Canis lupus familiaris: one gene and its partners. The protein of the gene in region 1 interacts with the protein of each later gene in a biochemical or structural test. Links are inferred from orthologs where the notes say so. Each region holds a gene or a part of one and is shown in the gene's direction. Other genes may lie near its edges.

What was found.
Region 2: the proteins of SNTB1 (region 1) and SLC16A7 interact in a test that uses a peptide from one of them, tested with the Homo sapiens proteins (2 studies listed by IntAct, with this or other methods). The link is inferred for Canis lupus familiaris from reciprocal best matches to the Homo sapiens genes SNTB1 and SLC16A7.
Region 3: the proteins of SNTB1 (region 1) and DGKZ form a complex in vitro, tested with the Homo sapiens proteins (2 studies listed by BioGRID and IntAct, with this or other methods). The link is inferred for Canis lupus familiaris from reciprocal best matches to the Homo sapiens genes SNTB1 and DGKZ.
Region 4: the proteins of SNTB1 (region 1) and MAPK12 interact in a test that uses a peptide from one of them, tested with the Homo sapiens proteins (2 studies listed by IntAct, with this or other methods). The link is inferred for Canis lupus familiaris from reciprocal best matches to the Homo sapiens genes SNTB1 and MAPK12.
Region 5: the proteins of SNTB1 (region 1) and GUCY1A2 interact in a test that uses a peptide from one of them, tested with the Homo sapiens proteins (2 studies listed by IntAct, with this or other methods). The link is inferred for Canis lupus familiaris from reciprocal best matches to the Homo sapiens genes SNTB1 and GUCY1A2.

The regions. Positions count from the first base shown.
Region 1 is NC_049234.1:20,013,694-20,017,894, reverse strand, and holds the start of SNTB1 (beta-1-syntrophin), read left to right. Parts: upstream 1-1,386; 5' UTR 1,387-1,401; coding exon 1,402-1,948; intron 1,949-4,201. UniProt on the Homo sapiens protein: Adapter protein that binds to and probably organizes the subcellular localization of a variety of membrane proteins. May link various receptors to the actin cytoskeleton and the dystrophin glycoprotein complex.
Region 2 is NC_049231.1:3,852,239-3,855,754, forward strand, and holds part of SLC16A7 (monocarboxylate transporter 2), read left to right. Parts: intron 1-1,870; coding exon 1,871-2,142; 3' UTR 2,143-3,516. UniProt on the Homo sapiens protein: Proton-coupled monocarboxylate symporter. Catalyzes the rapid transport across the plasma membrane of monocarboxylates such as L-lactate, pyruvate and ketone bodies, acetoacetate, beta-hydroxybutyrate and acetate.
Region 3 is NC_049239.1:43,521,731-43,525,246, reverse strand, and holds part of DGKZ (diacylglycerol kinase zeta), read left to right. Parts: intron 1-177; coding exon 178-255; intron 256-1,350; coding exon 1,351-1,407; intron 1,408-1,761; coding exon 1,762-1,830; intron 1,831-2,699; coding exon 2,700-2,771; intron 2,772-2,871; coding exon 2,872-2,988; intron 2,989-3,088; coding exon 3,089-3,160; intron 3,161-3,376; coding exon 3,377-3,472; intron 3,473-3,516. UniProt on the Homo sapiens protein: Diacylglycerol kinase that converts diacylglycerol/DAG into phosphatidic acid/phosphatidate/PA and regulates the respective levels of these two bioactive lipids.
Region 4 is NC_049231.1:17,896,272-17,899,142, forward strand, and holds part of MAPK12 (mitogen-activated protein kinase 12), read left to right. Parts: intron 1-314; coding exon 315-426; intron 427-533; coding exon 534-563; intron 564-810; coding exon 811-858; intron 859-1,332; coding exon 1,333-1,447; intron 1,448-1,672; coding exon 1,673-1,744; intron 1,745-1,857; coding exon 1,858-1,937; intron 1,938-2,015; coding exon 2,016-2,094; intron 2,095-2,173; coding exon 2,174-2,347; intron 2,348-2,871. UniProt on the Homo sapiens protein: Serine/threonine kinase which acts as an essential component of the MAP kinase signal transduction pathway.
Region 5 is NC_049226.1:25,514,185-25,517,700, forward strand, and holds part of GUCY1A2 (guanylate cyclase soluble subunit alpha-2), read left to right. Parts: intron 1-2,868; coding exon 2,869-3,354; intron 3,355-3,516. UniProt on the Homo sapiens protein: Has guanylyl cyclase on binding to the beta-1 subunit. Isoform 2 acts as a negative regulator of guanylyl cyclase activity as it forms non-functional heterodimers with the beta subunits.

The DNA.
Region 1 (4,201 bases):
TCGGTGATGTCAATGGTGATACACATCAGTGGGAATGTGTTTGGTAAGATTTCTAACCTTGCTGGGTTACTTGTGAGTTTTGCTTTGTTTTGATTTTAGACAGCGGGGAGAGAGATGAAAAGTTGGGGGGAGGGGGATAAGACTTAAAACTGGTGGGGAGGCCCATGACACCTGATTACGGCGGGAGGAGAACCTCAGAGGTTCAAGGACCCGGAACACTCTGAGGGGGTTCAGCCGTGACTGGGGTTAGGTTGGCATTTCTTGATTGGCCTGGTAAGGTGACCAACTATAATAATACCGTCCCCCTGGAACAATGAGTAACTAGTAACTAGTCCAAACAAGTAAGGGAACTTTGCAGATACAGTCCACTGCCACCGAGTTCTCAAACGGTGGGACCTCCTACATTGGATTTTGGGAAGAAAGAGAAAGTCCCAGGAAACAACTGGAATGGCCCTGGGTGGGGTGGGGGCGGGGACCAGACAGAGACGCAGATTGCCTACGGAGTGTTGAAGCTGGGAAGGCGTCAGGTCCCGGGGTCTGGGGTCGGGGGCAGGCAGTGACCTGCTGAAAGCCACCGGCCAGCACACGCGCCTCTCCAGGGATCCGGAGGAAAGAAGTCCTGCCTGCATTTCGAGAGAGGAAGTTTCGGGCCCTCGGGCTATGCTGACGCTCCATCCTGAGCTCTCGGGACAGCCGTCCCTCTGGACTCTCGGAGAACCCGGGGCCTCCATCCGAGTCTACCTGGGAACCCCGGCGCGGAGGGGAGCCAGGTGAGGAAGAGCTCGGCGGGAGAAGCCAAGCCTCGGTTTGCGGAAGCCGGAGCGAGGAGGGTCTGGGTCTGGGTACGGCTGGGGCGTGGGGGGGGGGGGGCGGGACCCAGGGACAGTGGGGCGGGCTCCGGGGCGTGGAGCGCGGGCCCCAGGCAGGGCGAGGGGTCCGGGCCAAGGCGCGGCGTGGGCGCCCGCGGGGCGGGGAGGGGGCGGGGCCGGGGGTCGGAGCCGCGAGCGGCCGGAACAGGTGAGCGGCCGCCGGGCCCCGCCGGGCCCCCGCCCTCCCCGCGGGCGCGCCTCCTCCTCCCGACCCTCCGGGCGCCGAGCGCCGCCGCTCCCCTCCGTTGGCGCGTTTGCAACTGGCAGCTGGCTTTTTTTTTTTTTTTTTTTTTTCTTTCCCCTCCTTTCCCCTCCCCTGAGTGTGTCTCTCCTTCTTTTAGGTCGCTCCACCCCGCGCAGGATCCGGCGAGGGGGAGCGCGCGGCGGCGGCCACCTCGCGCCGGGCGCGCGTGCCAAGTCCCCGAGCGGCGCCCCGCGCCCGGCCCGCGCCCCGCGCCCGCGGCCTCCCCGCAGCCCGTGCCCACTCTTCCCCCCTTTGGCAATCGCACGGCGTTTTAAGAATGCCGGAAAGATGGCGGTAGCGGCGGCGGCGGCGGCGGGCCCGAGCGGCGGGGGAGGCGGCCGCGCGCCGCGGAGCGGGCCGCTGGAAGTTCTGGTGCGGGACCGCTGGCACAAAGTTCTGGTGAACTTGGGCGAGGACGCGCTGGTCCTGAGCTGCGAGGAGGGCGCCGCGGCGTCCAACGGCCTGGGCACCGCCACCAATGGCGCGTTCTGCAGGGGCGCGGGCGGCGCGCAGCCCCCCGACTCGCCGGCCGGGGTCCGCACCGCCTTCACCGACCTGCCCGAGCAGGTGCCCGAGGCCATCTCCAACCAGAAGCGCGGCGTGAAGGTGCTGAAGCAGGAGCTGGGCGGGCTGGGCATCAGCATCAAGGGAGGCAAGGAGAACAAGATGCCCATCCTCATCAGCAAGATCTTCAAGGGGCTGGCGGCCGACCAGACCCAGGCCCTGTACGTGGGCGACGCCATCCTGTCGGTGAACGGGGCCGACCTGCGGGACGCCACCCACGACGAGGCGGTGCAGGCGCTGAAGCGCGCGGGCAGGGAGGTGCTGCTGGAAGGTAGGGGCTCCCGCCGGCGGCCGCGCACACACCCCCTCGCACCCACCCACGTGCCCGCGCAGCCCCGGGGCCGGCGGCGGGGAGCTGGGACAGCTTTAGCCCCCCTGCCCCCGGGTCCCCAACCCAGGTCCCTGACCCCGCGCCCCTAACCCAGGTCCCTGACCCCGCGGCCCTAACCCGGGAGCTCTTGCAGGCCGGGACCCTGCAGGGGTGTGTGAAGGGGCAGGGCGAGCAGGCTTAGTGCACCGCGTGTCCTGTTTCCCCGCGGATAATCCGAGTGAGGCGTGGGGGCCGAGTGTAACCCGGGGCAGCCGTCCACGCGGCGGGGAGAGCCCACTGAATGAATAATCGCAACTCTGCTGCAGCTTCGTGCCTCGGCACTATGTTCTCAGAAGCCTGGGCGATCTGATTTAAAGGGTTCATTCAGTCCCCCCCAAAGAGGATGGAGAGGCGTGGCCGTGTGCGTGGACCCCCCCGCCCCCCAAGCCCCCTCATCCTCCCGGACTTCCCTCCTCGCAGACTGGAAACCCGGGTTATTACGCTGGGGGAGTTGTGCCAAGGGCTGGGGAAGTGTGCCGCAGCTTCATGCAGAAGTTGGTTCCCTTCTGGTGCCAGGTGTTTGGCCGGTCAGTCTGGATTCCAGGCTGCTCTGGCTGGAGGGTTGCTGAGGCAGTTTTTCTGCCTGGCCTCGTCCCGGGATTTTTCCTGAGTGGCGTGGAAACAGTTTCGCATTTGTAAACAGTTTCCCCTGAGTGGGAGGCTTCTTGGAAAGGACTCTCTTGAGATCCTATGTCCCCAATCCCCTAATTTTTCAAGGGAGTGGAATAGGTAGCCGAGTTGTTATAGCCTTTTGGGATTATGTGCTGTTAGGAGGGCAGAAGGGCAGTAGGGTATTAAGTGGATAATCATTCTCCTTTCCCACTACATCTTGTATCTCTTACTTGGTAACTGCCTCTCTGCCCCCATGGCTTGCTTCGTGCTAACCTCAGTTAGCACACATATCATGTAATTATTTTTGCCTATTTACTCAGCTTCCCCCTCACTGTAGATTGAGTTGCCTGGGGTCTTTTATTTAGTTATGGGTCATCTCCCTTGAGTTTCAGGGCTCAAGGATATGCATGACAAGTGAATAAATAAATGAGCCCATAGCCATGGTCGCACAGTATTTCAACCCAGATCTTGTAAACTGGTGGTTGATTTAAATCCGAAATTGAGGACTTAAAGTCAATTTCCTGCTCACCAGATGTGGTGCTGGTGTGTGAAACCGAGAAAGTTCAAAGTTGGAAAACCAGCTTTGTTACATGTGACAGCTGATGCAACTCTCTGGTACACGATCGTCCAGCTCCTGCCTAGAATACATAGGGTCCTCCCCCACACACTTTTATTTATCTAGAGGATTTGTGATGTCTTCATATTTAATAGCTACCCTGGATCCAGAAAGTGGAAGGCTATTTGCTTTGGCTTGATGATTAACATAAGTAAACAGAAAAAAGTTTTCTTGACTCGAGTGTGTGTGTTGGTTTGTGTGACAAGAGGCAGGTGGGATCTGCGGCAAGTTTAGTTTGGACTATAAACTGCTAGGCGCCTGCTTCGCTTGCAATATTTGCTATAAACTCTCAGGGGGGACAAAAGGCAGGCCATTTCTCTTTCAATTCGTTATGTCTTTTATGTCCTTCATTATGTCTTTTCTTCTCTTTGGTTTCAATTTAATGAATAATAACTTAGCAAAGAGATGAAAAAAAAAATCTCTCACCCAAAAAAAGAGGAAGGAAAGGTGACTCCCTGCAGTTGAAAATAAATTTAAAAGGAATCAGACAGTTATGTGACTTTACGGATGCAGCAACCTAAGAGTGAGTTTTGTAAAAACCTCTGATGTGACATTCTTGCAACACGCCATCCTGTGTTACGGGCAGGACCTCTGCGGGGAGGCCTGTGGGCCTCCTGGAAATGAGCCACCTGGGCTTGGGGGCAGCAGTCTTATTCCCAGCCAGAGTTTTCAGAGATCGACTGCAAATGAGAGAAGCCAGTAGAGGCCCCACTCAAAACAATGTCTCTTGCTCTGAGTTGAAGTGTTGGTCCTGAGTGCGTGCAGTAGGAGTGATCATACACCATCAAAGCAAATATCACACGTCCTCTCTTTGTAGCTTATAGTAGTGCATGGATTCCCTACTGAAGGGGCATGTCAGTACCACCGGAAGGGCTTTTCAAAATCACACACCTACTTGCCGGTATTCTCAAATGCATTCTTGATTG
Region 2 (3,516 bases), on another chromosome or scaffold:
TCTGAATGAATGAGTATCATTGTAGTTACTATTCACACAGTTGCTGCTGCTGCCGCCACTCTTGTTAGTAGAGCAGTAGGAGATAGAGTATGATTTTTAGTTTTGTTTTTTTTCAGCTCAGACTTTCTGTGCTGTACTCACAAGAGCTGAAGCTTTAGTTCTGGAAATCATATCTGGTTTCTTGATGATGCTAAAATACTCCCCACACATTTAGAAAGTATGTTGATATGGCAGCCCAAAGTGATACTAACTCTGATAGGGACGTAGACCTAATGTTTATGTATTTAGAAGTATAAGAATCATTGTATGAATAGAAATATTTGACTAGCACTAGAATGGAAATTTAAATTATACATTTTTGTTATGTTTATCTATATGGCACACTTAAATAAGCCGACTCCACCATTTAACTAATTAAACAGAGGACTTTGCTCAAATAGGCAATTTCATAAGTAGCTAAATTTAATACTGAGCCACTAACTAGATTCTATCCAGAATGAATGAGATTCTGATTAAAGAATCAGGCCTATATCAGAATCACCTAGAATATACATATAATAAATAATATAGATTTGTATATACTATCATTGTTAAGATTTAGGTACCTGCATAACCAAGAGGCAAAATTAAGTAAAGCTGAATTATTTTTACAAGTCAATAAACCAGGGTGCCTGAATGGCTCAGTTGATTGAGTGCCCGACTCTTGGTTTCAGCTCAGGTCATGATCTCAGGGTTATGAGATAGAGCCCCACGTCAGGTGTAGCTACATTGGGCACAGAGCCTGCCTAAGAGTCTCTGTCTCCCTCTCCCTCTGTGCGTCCTCCTATCCCCCGCTACTCTCACTCAAAAAAAAAAAAAAAAAAGTCACTAAACGTTCAGGTTATATGATATTAGGCTAGTTTTTAAATGTTCCCAATAATCAAATGTAATAAATATTTTCTTCCTGATTAGTCTGGCTTTAATAATTTAGAGTCAGATAAACTAAATTGCTTTTAGCCCAAAAAGTTATGGTCTGACTCTTAACCAAAAGGTGTGGTGAAGCTCTTTTGCAGAGTAGTTAAGAACCTGAGATTCAGGGACCTTGGTTAGACTCCTCATTCTGCCACTCACTGGCTATGTGGCCACATTCAGATTACTTCATCAGGCTCTTGTAAGGATTAAATTAGATATTACCCCATTTAAAAGTGTTTAGCCTAGGGGCCCCTGGGTGGCTCCGTCAGCTAAGCCTCTGTGTCGCTCAGGTCATGATCCCAGGGGCCCAGGATGAAGCCCTGCGTTGGGCTTCCTGCTCAGTGGGGATCCTGCTTCTCCCCCTCTCTCCCCTCGCACTCCCTGTTCATGTTCATCCACTGTCTCTCTCTCTCTCAAATAAATAAATTAAAAATCTTAAAAAGAAAAATGTTTCTATGCCTAGTGCTGGACATAGAAAAAGCATGTCAAGAACCTTAAAAAAGCCTTTGGGTCTTTCTTAAATAAAAAATATAATTTTTTCATTTTTATTGAAAAGCTTGGAAAGGATGAAGCAGTCTCAATGGTAAATATTAATAGATAAATATATCTAGATACACATAGATACAAAAAACATGTCTCACACATACATGTATTTAAGAATATATACCTACTTTGTCTTGGTTGTACATTTTTATTGAGGGGAATAGTCTTTAGTAAACTTAATATGCTGGTAATATAATGCTGTGTGTGTCCATAATTGCCTTTTCTATGCATATATAGAATTCATAATCTGTAATATTTTTTGTTAAAATCTCATTTAATATTAACTTAAATAAGAAATAAGTACATACTTTGTAGAAGAATTTATTGGAACATGTTATCATTTTCTGGTTGTTTTATTATGTTCTCTGTCTCTTAGGTAAATTGGTGGATGAAACTGGACAGTATAAATACATGTATATAGCCTGCGGAACTATTGTGTTCCTATCAAGTGTGTGGCTGCTCATTGGCAACGCTATAAACTACAGATTGCTTGCAAAGGAAAAGAAGCAGGAAGAAGGAAGGATGAAATCATTGAATATACCTGAATCCAAAGAGTCTGAACCCCTGAACAAATCTAAACCTCATGACATTGACATCAAAAGTACAGAAACAGGGAACAATCCCTCAGAAAGAGAAACTAATATTTAACAAGAATCACATCTCTGATTTCAGTGTTTATGACTTTCTTAGGAGTTTTTTTTTTTTTTTCAAAATTTCGGGAAAGTTTTTACTTGAAATGAGGAGTCATAATTAAGGATGGAGATCAGACTTTCCTCAATGGCAAATTTTTATAAGTTTGTTTTTTAAACCTTGTTTGGATAGTTAAATTCTGAGATTATGCCTATAAAAAATCCATGCAATGGGTTTATTTCCATTCATGACTCGGGCTGTCATGGTTAAAATAATTTTAAAGTCTTCCAGTGACTTCCAGTCTTGGTTATAGAGATCTGAATCCCAAACCCCTGGTTCAAGTAGTTAGAAGGAGTCTGTTTAATCCAATAAGAATACCCTGTCCAAATTTTATTTTTAGTGTTAAATGAAATTGAAAGAAAATGAATTTTCTTCTACTTGCACACACACACATCCACACTCACTTATATGTACACATGTGCACAAAGTATCCAGCAAACAAAAGACAAATAAGTTCAAAAAGAATATTATCACTTTTTTAACTTAAAAAATAAATACATGGAGAATGAAGACATGTGTTATATCAGCATAATACTTTATAATATAAATTTTGAAGATAAGAACATGGGTGAAAATGAGGATGATCTTAATTTGAAAATGCAACTAACTGAGTAAAAAAAGTATTTGCATATATAAAATAAATTTGAAAAAAAAAAACCCTCTCCATTTTAAACCATTATTTCTTCATACTGTTAGATTTGATTAATTCACGCACATGACTTCTTTGAGGATGAACATTAGTACCTGGTGCTAGAGAATAGAACCCTCCAATAATTCTTACTTAATATGTAAATCAAATTAAAAGCCTAAGTGACTCCTCACAATGAGCTGCCTTCATTGATTTTAAAAGGATTTTAGTTACTAATCCAGAAAGTAATAACCAGGGATTTCTTTTAATCAGAACTCAATCCAGACTCAACTGTCATACCGAGACTTCAAAATGGAATCTACCAGAATCCTGGTTGACAGGCTGACAAATAGGCCAAATTCTAATTTTTCCCAACATGTTGCAGCAATCAGAGTGTTACTGTTATGAATGATCCATCTGAGTAAAGCTGATTAAGAGTGAGAGGTGCTTATACTGAGCCCTCTAAATTCTCTCATTTCTCTTCCCTCCCTAAAATGCAAAAGCAAAACACAGAAATCCAAGCAGGCCTTTTGCTCAGCCACTGAAATTCCTCATGTTGCAGGAATGGCAACACTTCAAAATCCCACCCCCTCCTGATGAGACTTTCTGCTACCTGGAACCATAACTGGGAGACCGTTAGAAAAGGTTTCTAGAACTGGAAGCTGCATGTAACTTGGAACATACACTCGTGAGGGGTAGGCATA
Region 3 (3,516 bases), on another chromosome or scaffold:
TGAGGATGGCAGAGGGAATGGGGGCTGTGTTCTTTCTGACGCCAGGACTGGGAATTCCCAGTGAACACAGAATTCCCGGCTGTGCTGGGGCAGATGTAAGGATTTCTCTTTCTGCCTGGGGCAGCATCCTGGAGGGAGTTACCTGGTGCCTCAGGGCCCTCTCTTTGTTTTCTGTAGCAGAAGTCAGTGTCCCGGAGAAAGTGTGCAGCCTGCAAGATCGTGGTGCACACCCCCTGCATCGAGCAGCTAGAGAAGGTGAGTATGGGTCCTCAGCCTTTCCTGCTCCTCCCTATTGAGTGCTGAAGTCATTTTAGTACACGCACGCGTGTATCTCTGCACGCATATTCACGTTACAAGCATTGTGTGGTGAAGAGCCAAAGACCTTGGGGCTGAAATGTCTGCCTTTGAATCCTGTCTCCCCCCATAAGCTCCTCTGTCCCCACTGCCCAGAACAATCCTGGCACAGAGTGGTGCTCACTGACTGTTATTCGGTGGGATGAATAAATAAGTGACGGCCAAAACACCATTTTATCCGCACCTAAGTTAGCATTTAGAAGGGGCCATTGTCTTGCCGAAGCTTGGCTCTGTCCCCTATATGCTGCTGCTCTAGAGACCTTTCCCTAGGGACTGTTGTCCACAGTGTGTCTACAGCTGGTGCCACGTCTGGGCCCTGTGCTTCTAGAGGGAAGTTGGGGGAACCCTGGGTAGGCAGGTCCAGGCAGAGGGTGGGAGGGCTCCCCAGGCAGCAGAAACCCATCAGCACATGGGAAAGCCTGTAAGACTAGGACCAGCGTGAGCAAGGGTAACGTGGGCCACTTGCCCCAGCCCTTAACTCAGAGAGTGAGGCTTCCCTTGGCAACTTGGGTGCTCCAGCTAAGGCTGGAGCAAAGACAGTTGGGAAAAGAGAAACAAACGTAGCCCCAGGCATTATAGAGCCCAAGGTGGAAATCGGACCAGTTTCCACAAATGAGCTCATGGTCTCCAGGGATCAGCCCGCGCGAGTCTGCAAGCAAGGATCAGGGTGCCTTCCCGTGCCTAGGTTGGGAGCACTGGAGGGCAAGGGGAAGTATGGGAAGAGGCAGGGAGGTGGACGCAAAACTCCCAGTGTCCCCCATCCCAGGATACTAACAGAGGAAGGAAGAGCCCTTCTGGATAGTGGAGAGGAGGCGGAGAAACAGGAGGGCTTCTGAGAAGAGGTGTCTCATATTCTGATGGTTCCCAGGAGGCTTTGGGGCTATCACTACCTTGTGAAGATGACTCCGAATGACACTTTCTTAGAGAAGGTGGATAGATGCCTGACTGCCTGAAAGGAGGTTCTAACAGTTGGGTGGTCATTGCAATGTTTCACAGATAAATTTCCGCTGTAAACCATCCTTCCGTGAATCAGGCTCCAGGAACATCCGTGAGGTAAGTGCCTAGGGTAGTTATGGGTAAGGAGGCATTGAGTTTCCCGAGTGGGCTTCTCCACGGTGTCTGTAGAGTGCCACCAGGGGACCCAGCCGCTCTGGGGCTCAGGGACGTGCAGGGCTGAGGCTCTGAGAGGGTCTCAGTGGGGGAAGGCCTGGCCTTGCCTGCAGAACGGGTGAGGCACAATGCCTGCCTCTTGGGCCTCCTCGCTCTCCAGCCCTCTCACCTCACACACACTTCTGTGGAGAACTTGCTGCGGCCCCACGCCTCCCATTAATATATGGAGCGGTGCAGGCCATGCTTCAGGCTTGTGCCTCTCCCACTCCTCACTCCAGTGATACTCTCCTCCTCCAGCCAACCTTCGTGCGGCACCACTGGGTACACAGACGACGTCAGGATGGCAAGTGTCGGCACTGTGGGAAGGTGAGGCTCTGCCCAGGCTGGTTGGCCAGCCTGCTGCCCCTGGGCCTGGACCCCGCAGCCCCCAAGCCTCAGGCCGAGCATCCGGTCTGCCCATCACTGACACTGTCTCCTGAGTGCAGAGTCCTGGGGCTCACTCCCACCCTGGCTGAGGTGCCCAGTCAGCTCCAAACGCTCAGGTCTCTACACAGAGCAGGAGAGCAGGGAAGAAAGTTACCTTTGGTTCAGTGTATCTGGACTGCCTCAAAGTCGTGGTTGAGCCCTCTGAGAATTTCATAGACTTACTTGTTTGGTCACTGAGGACATTTGTTGAGCACCTGTTGGGTGCTGTACTCAGGGCTAGGTAGTGAGGCCTCTGCCCTTCCTGCAGGAGACTGTGGCCTGAAGACACACTGTGGGCGGTCTTCCCCGAGTGCAGTGCACGGTGTGGTGGTCACTTGTTCCTTGTGTGCTTCTGGTTTGTATCCCTCAGGAAGCATAGGTTCTAGAAGGTCTTGGGGCCCTGTCTCTTTCCTCTGTTCATTCTCAGTCCCGAGCACAGTGTCCGGCACACGGCAGGCCCTTGATCAATGTTGTGGGATGAACAAGGGAATGAATGTGATAGATGCCTCGAAGCATATACCAGGGGGCCTTGGGGTATGGGCTCAGGAAGGAGGGCATCTGAGCTGGCAGGAGTCAGTTGTGGACCCTTCGCAACAGATTGGGTATGTGCACCCAGCGCCTCGCGGGTAACTTCAGGTTAACCTTGTAGAGTGGCAGGCCGCCCGGCTCCAGGGGCTTATCTTACAGATTTTTTTTTTAATGTGAAAAAAAAAAAAATGTGCTCAGTTTCCCTGGGGCCCCAACCACCCACTGCCTGCTTCCTACCCTAGGGCTTCCAGCAGAAGTTCACCTTCCACAGCAAGGAGATTGTGGCCATCAGTTGCTCCTGGTGCAAGCAAGCGGTGAGTGGTGCTCGCCCCTCCCTTCCCTGGCTGCTCTGGGTGTGTCCCCCCCCCCCCAAACAGCTGAGGCCTCAGCTCACCTGCGCCCCCTATTCTCTAGTACCACAGCAAGGTGTCCTGCTTCATGCTGCAGCAGATAGAGGAGCCGTGCTCCCTGGGTGTCCACGCTGCTGTGGTCATCCCGCCCACCTGGATCCTCCGTGCCCGCAGGCCCCAGGTGAGTCCTGCCCGCGGCTGTGATACCACCCCCATGCTCGGGCTCTGCCAGCCGTCCCAGCCCACCTTCCTTGTCACCAACACCCCGGCTTTCCTTGCAGAATACCCTCAAGGCAAGCAAGAAGAAAAAGAGAGCATCCTTCAAGAGGAAATCGAGCAAGAAAGGGCCAGAGGTTAGTCCTGGGGCCCGACAGACAGCGGGAGGGGAACAGGAAAGAGGGGCCTGTTCCTCCAAGTGCCGGGCTCTGGGCCCTTGAGGAAAGTAGGAGACTGTGGCCAGGCCCACCTTGAGGTCTGCCCTGGAGGTGGTTATGGGAGGGGCCACCGCCGAGAACAGGGGCGAGGTCTGCCAAGACAGGCTGGAGCCTCATAGTCTCTCCATCTCCAAGGAGGGCCGCTGGAGACCCTTCATCATCAGGCCCACCCCGTCACCCCTCATGAAGCCCCTGCTGGTGTTTGTGAACCCCAAGAGTGGAGGCAACCAGGTACTCACAGCCTGCCCTCTCTGCTGAGAGCCTTGGGGGTTAGG
Region 4 (2,871 bases), on another chromosome or scaffold:
CTGTCTCTCTCCCTCCACCTGCCCAGCCTGCCGCTCTGACCATGTGTCCTGCCGTCCCCGCCCCTACCTGCAGGCTTTCCTTTCTCTTGCACCCTCTTCTGCCTGTGATCCCTGGTGCTCCCCAGATCCCAGCCTCCATGTGCCCTGCAGGGAGCACCACAGTGTGGTCCTGACGAACCTGACATTCTGGGGCTGGGTGGGAGGAGGAGCTGCGGGGGGGCATTGGACAGGTGGGTGGAGCCTGGTGCTGCGGGGCGATCTCCGGGGTCTCCAGTGGGTGCGACACCTGCTGTCTGCACCACCTGTCCTCTCAGTTACCTGGTGATGCCATTCATGGGAACTGACCTGGGCAAGCTCATGAAGCACGAGAAGCTGAGTGAGGATCGAATCCAGTTCCTTGTGTACCAGATGCTGAAGGGGCTAAAGGTGGGAGAGGGGGTGTGGGAGGGCGACACCCTCAGGCCAGGCTGGGGCTGGGGAGCACGCTGCTCCCAGAGAGCTGACCGCCGCGGACCCTATCTTTGTCCCCATAGTACATCCACGCCGCCGGCATCATCCACAGGGTGAGTCCTGGTGGGAGCTTCCTTTGCAGGGAGGCGCGGGGGGCCTGAGCTCCAGGACCCCTGTGCTGGGGTCCGGTGGGGAGTGTGTGTGATGCCAGCTGTGGGTCCCCAGGGACCTTCACCCGCTCTGGAAGGGCTGCGGCCAGGGCTGGCCCAGTGTGGCTGCTTCCCCATTCAGGTGCCCCGGCCCTGCCCTTGTGCCCCCCCGGGGGCAGGGGCCGCACGGCCATGCTTCCTCTGTCCCCAGGACCTGAAGCCCGGCAATCTGGCAGTGAATGAGGACTGTGAGCTGAAGGTGTGTGTTGGGGGGAGGAGGGGGGCAGGGGGTCTCCTCACCTGTCCATCTGCCGGTTACCCTTGGCCTTCAGGCAGAGGGACCCAACCCCCGCCGTCTGGGCCAGGAGGGCATCGGGCACACGCCATACCTCATGAGGTGAAGGGCGGGAGGTGTCCCCAGGCCCCCAGGCCTGAGCCAGGGTAGGGCCAAGGGGGCCTCTACAATGTGCTGGCCAGGTCCCGGGGTCAGCGGGGAGCAGAGCAGCAGGGAAGGAGACCCACGGGGCGCTGCTCCTGAGGGTGGTGGAAGCCAGGTCAGTGGGGCTGGGCGCTCTGGCCACGCAGAGGAGCTCACGGGGAGGCTCAGAGAGTCCGTGGCCAGGACCTCGGGTCCTGGAGGGTTGGCAGGAGGCCCCGCGTGCCCAGTTCTGGGTCACAGGCTGGCCCACCTACTCCCGGGGGCCCCGGGCCCCGCCTTCCCGGTTCCCACCAGATCCTGGACTTCGGCCTGGCCAGGCAGGCAGATAGCGAGATGACTGGCTACGTGGTGACCCGGTGGTACCGGGCGCCTGAGGTCATCTTGAACTGGATGCGCTACACGCAGACAGGTGGGGCGCTGCCCAGAACCACCCCCAGCCGTGGCCTCCCAGGTGGCGCCGCCGCTGCCCCTCTTCAGGGGAAGCCCCACAGTGGCTCCTCGTGGGGGGCGGCTGTGCAGGGATGGGAGCCGGGCGAGGGGTGGAAGGCTGGACTGCCGCTGTGTCTGTGTCCCTCCGCACGCATGTCCCACCCTCCCTGGCCCACCGAGCGCTGACATGGGGCCTCTGACTCAGTGGACATCTGGTCCGCGGGCTGCATCATGGCAGAGATGATCACGGGGAAGACACTGTTCAAGGGCAGTGACCGTATCCTACACATGTGGGGGCCGGGCTGGGCCTGGGTGGGTGCTGGGTACGCTGCCCCAGCTTGGGGGGAGCCCCACTCTCTGGCCCGTGCTATGCTCCTCACCTCAGCACAGACCTGGACCAGCTGAAGGAGATCATGAAGGTGACAGGGACGCCTCCCGCCGAGTTCGTGCAGAGGCTGCAGAGTGCCGAGGTCACTTGGGAGCTGGGCGTGGGCGGCGGGGCTGGGCTGGGGCTGTGGCGTGGCCCCTCACCCTTTCTTCCTGAAAAGGCGAAGAACTACATGAAGGGCCTCCCCGAGTTGCAGAAGAAGGATTTTGCCTCCATCCTGACTAACGCAAGCCCCCTGGGTAGGATGGGACTCAGGGGAGCTGGGTCAGTGACTTGGACAGTGGGCCCTGGGCCCTCCCTGACCGGCGCTGCCCACAGCCGTGAACCTCCTGGAGAAGATGCTGGTGCTGGACGCAGAGCAGCGGGTGACGGCGGCCGAGGCGCTGACCCACCCGTACTTCGAGTCCCTGCAGGACACGGAGGAGGAGCCCAAGGCCCAGAAGTACGACGAGTCCTTTGATGATGTGGACCGCACGCTGGACGAGTGGAAGCGTGAGTGGGGGGCTCTGGGCAGGGGCGGTGGCTGGACCCCGTGAGCCCAGCACAGGTGGTCAGGGCTCATAGCCCCGGGTCCCCCGACCTTGGGACGCAGGCCCGGTGAGGAATACAGCAGACAGCCAGCGGGCAGGGGGCTTCTTGGCCAATGGGCCCTCTGGCCGGAGCTGAAGGATGAAAGAACGTTCCGGGCAGGGGGTTCAGCACAAACAAGTGCGGAGGAGAGTTCTGGAAACTGGGTAGCAGCCCCCAGCTGCGGGCAGTTGTGAGCACTTACCCTGCAGGCCCGGCACCAGTGCTGGCCAGAGACCTGGGCCATCCTGCGGCCCTTCTGCACCCCCTTGTGCCCCAGACTTCCACTCTCACCTCTTGAACTTCTGGTGGCCTCTCTTTGCCCCACTTTCCTTTTTAAAGATCTACATGTTAAGAGAGCGCAAGTGAGAGTGTGTGCGCTCGGGCACCAGGCAGGAAGGGGCAGAGGGGGACAGAGGGTTTCAAGCAGATTTCGCTGAGCGTGGAGC
Region 5 (3,516 bases), on another chromosome or scaffold:
TATGTATTTTCCCATAAATCTGCTTCCTATACATAAGAATATATAATTTCTATAATAATTCTGCACATTGCTAAATGAACAAGTGAAGATGATGGTGAATTCCTGAATTTATGATTATAATGGTACAAATGTAATTCAAAAGGAATAATTTATGTTATTACCAATTAAAGTAAAAACACATTTATGATAGAGACACAAATGCTTCAGTTATATTTGCCCATTTATTAAATAAGGGAAAAATTCACTGATGAAAAAATATTAAAAGTTATTTACATGTACATTGGGGCTTATCTTATGAGTTGTTATTCTGTAGTGTAGGAGGTAAGCAATCACTTTTTCCTCAGACTCTGTTGATTCAGAGATTTCAAAATAAAAACCACCCAAACAGCTAATGGCCACGTATAGATCAAGAACCTATTTATGTTTTATATTTTTGAGCTAGGAATTGCAGATATTCGACTCAGCTTCTTTTAAGTTAAACAAAAACGCTATTGTTTATTACATATAGCAAATAATACATAATGTTGTTAGTGCATGTACCATAGGCTGATTCTGTATCTGACATAAAGAGAGATGGTGGCAAGGGAGAAAGGGGTCCATTTGTGATGGGACACGTGGAGGTTGATGTCTTGGAAGAGAATGAAGTAATGAGGAAAGAGGGAGGGGCAGGGAGTGCTCATAAGAGAGAGAGACAGGCAGCAGGAGAGACAAAGACCAAGTGAAGAGAGGATGCTGGAAGTATAAGTCCATAAAACAAAGGGGAGAAGGGAGAAAAAAGTAAGATGGAGAAGAAGAAAACATCTGAAATGTGAGGGGGGAGAGAGAGAGAGAGAGAGAGAGAGAGAGAGAGAGACCACATACGTCTAAATCTAGATTTAGATCTCTGAGCATCAGAGATTTGCTTTTACAAAACTTAAACTTTATGAATAAATGGATCATGGTCAATTTTTAGCTTTGATGTTGTAGATTTTGTGTATCTTCCTTATGACACCTTCACCATCCCGATGGTGGGCAAGCATGTGCCATTAACAGCAGTCCTCTCAACACAGCCTGCCAGGCACAGCACACAGGACACAGCCTGGATATTCTCAGAACAGTCATCTCTGTCTGTACTCAGGCCATAGCCTGCAGCCTTGGGAAACTGCCCTTGGTGGTGGTGGTGGGCGGCGGGGGGAGGGATTGGGAGTGTCTTCTGCACACCATTTTCTGGCCTCCATCACCATCCTATGTATCCTTGAGAAGGGGCATATTCTTTTATCTTTTTATGCTAATGACCTAGAGCAGTGTGAGTAAATAGGAAACAATAAATATTTCATTGAAGAAATGAGAGTACTAGGTATCAGAGGAGGAAATACTGAACACTCGTGGTAACTTCACTTAAGATAAAGCAAACATTTCATTTCATAAAAATTATAGTGTCAAGGGAGGACCTGATTTTATTTCCATGTCTGTACTGAATCTTGATGAATGGTACAGGTGGAATCATGTAAAACATAGATGCAGGCCTACACATCCAAATCTCTCAGTTTTACTGTATGTTTGTTCTATGCCTTCAGTTTCATCAGCCAGCCAAACTACTTCATGCTACAAATAATAAAGGAAAATAAATTTAATGAGCCACATCCATGTGGCAGTGGAAGGTGATATAGGTTAAACAGATATGCACTCTTGGTGGTCAACTCTTGGGCTGTTCTTTCTAGGTCATTACCACCTCTCTCCTTTCCAGGAGATACCTTACTCTGGCCCAGATAACTCTGTACAGCCACATCCTTTTTTTATTTTTATTATTTTTTAAAGATTTTATTTATTTGACAGAGAGAGAGAGGGAGAGATAGCATGAGCAGGGGAGGGATAAGCAGAGGGTAAGGGAGCAACAGGATCCTCACCAAGTGTAGAGGCTGATGTGGGACTCTATCCCAATCCTGGGATCATGACCTGAGCCGAAGGCAGATGCTTAACTGACTGAGCCACTGAGTCCCACTGTACAGCAACATCCTAAGTGCATTTCCTTTCCTGCTGCCGCTCCTTCCCTTGGAATGGCTCATAGGGTGCCATGCTAAGCTAGCATCAGTTTGCGTCCACTGATGGAACACATGAAACATCAGTCGCCCAAGTTCTGTAGTCAAAGAATACAGAAAGGAGGGACCAATTTAAAGTAGTGCATCTTCAGATTCTTTATCTTCCTAACTGAATTCCTTTAGTGTTATTCTGATTTAGGGGGTATATTTTCAGCTCATAGTGAACATGATATTTGATTGAAAATTACTTCCTGATAATACAGACATAATCACATCTAGTTTAAATTTTTATTTTTAAAGATAAAGTGAATCATTCTGTAAGTCAGTGCAAGAACTACTATATATTCAAAGGTCTACAAGCCTTGAAAAATGACTTATGTAAGGCCAAACAATTATTTTGATTTATTTGAATTTCTGGACTTTTTTTCCCTGAGTGTTATTTTAATGACTTGAATACAGTTGTTTTGACAGATGGATTTATCCTAATTTTATTATTAAGCAGGTTGAAAGGTGCTAAATTGACTCATGAGCCAATTTCATGATGAGCCTGAGTGTAATTTCATTTTGAATAAAAAATGTTTTTCAGGTTCATTTCTCATTGATCTCACTCATCATTTCATCATTGTCTTTAGGAAGTAGCAAAGTGGGGCATAATAACAAAGATTTCTGTTCAGAACCATGAATTTTACACAGGTTGCCAACCATATTCAAATTTGCTCATATGAATGCAGAAATTCAGCATAGCTAATATACATTTCTTGTTCCTTCTCTTCATCAGATAGTAAATTAACTTTTTTTGTGAACCTACTATGTGAAGAGCACTGATTAAAATTTCATGTTAATTTTGCAGGTGATGGAAGTCAAAGGACAGATGATCCATGTCCCAGAATCAAATTCCATTTTATTCTTGGGCTCTCCATGTGTGGACAAGTTGGATGAACTCATGGGCCGAGGGCTGCATCTCTCAGACATCCCTATTCATGATGCCACCCGAGATGTCATTCTGGTTGGTGAACAGGCAAAGGCACAAGATGGCTTGAAGAAGAGGATGGATAAATTAAAGGCAACTTTGGAAAGAACTCATCAGGCCCTGGAAGAAGAAAAAAAGAAAACAGTGGATCTTCTGTATTCTATTTTCCCTGGTGATGTAGCCCAGCAGCTGTGGCAAGGGCAGCAGGTGCAGGCAAGAAAGTTTGATGACGTTACCATGCTCTTCTCGGACATTGTTGGCTTCACAGCCATATGTGCCCAGTGTACTCCCATGCAGGTGATCAGCATGCTGAATGAACTGTATACCAGGTTTGACCACCAGTGTGGATTTTTGGATATTTATAAGGTAAAGGGGTTTAGTTACTTATACACAAGTATTTTTTTTATCATAAGTGATCTGAAATTGCAAGGATACAATTTTCTTTGTAAAGTTAAACTTGGTAGTAAATAATGGAAATCTCTTTAATTTAGAAATTTTAGACAGACTACAAGTATTCCTGTTTAATGG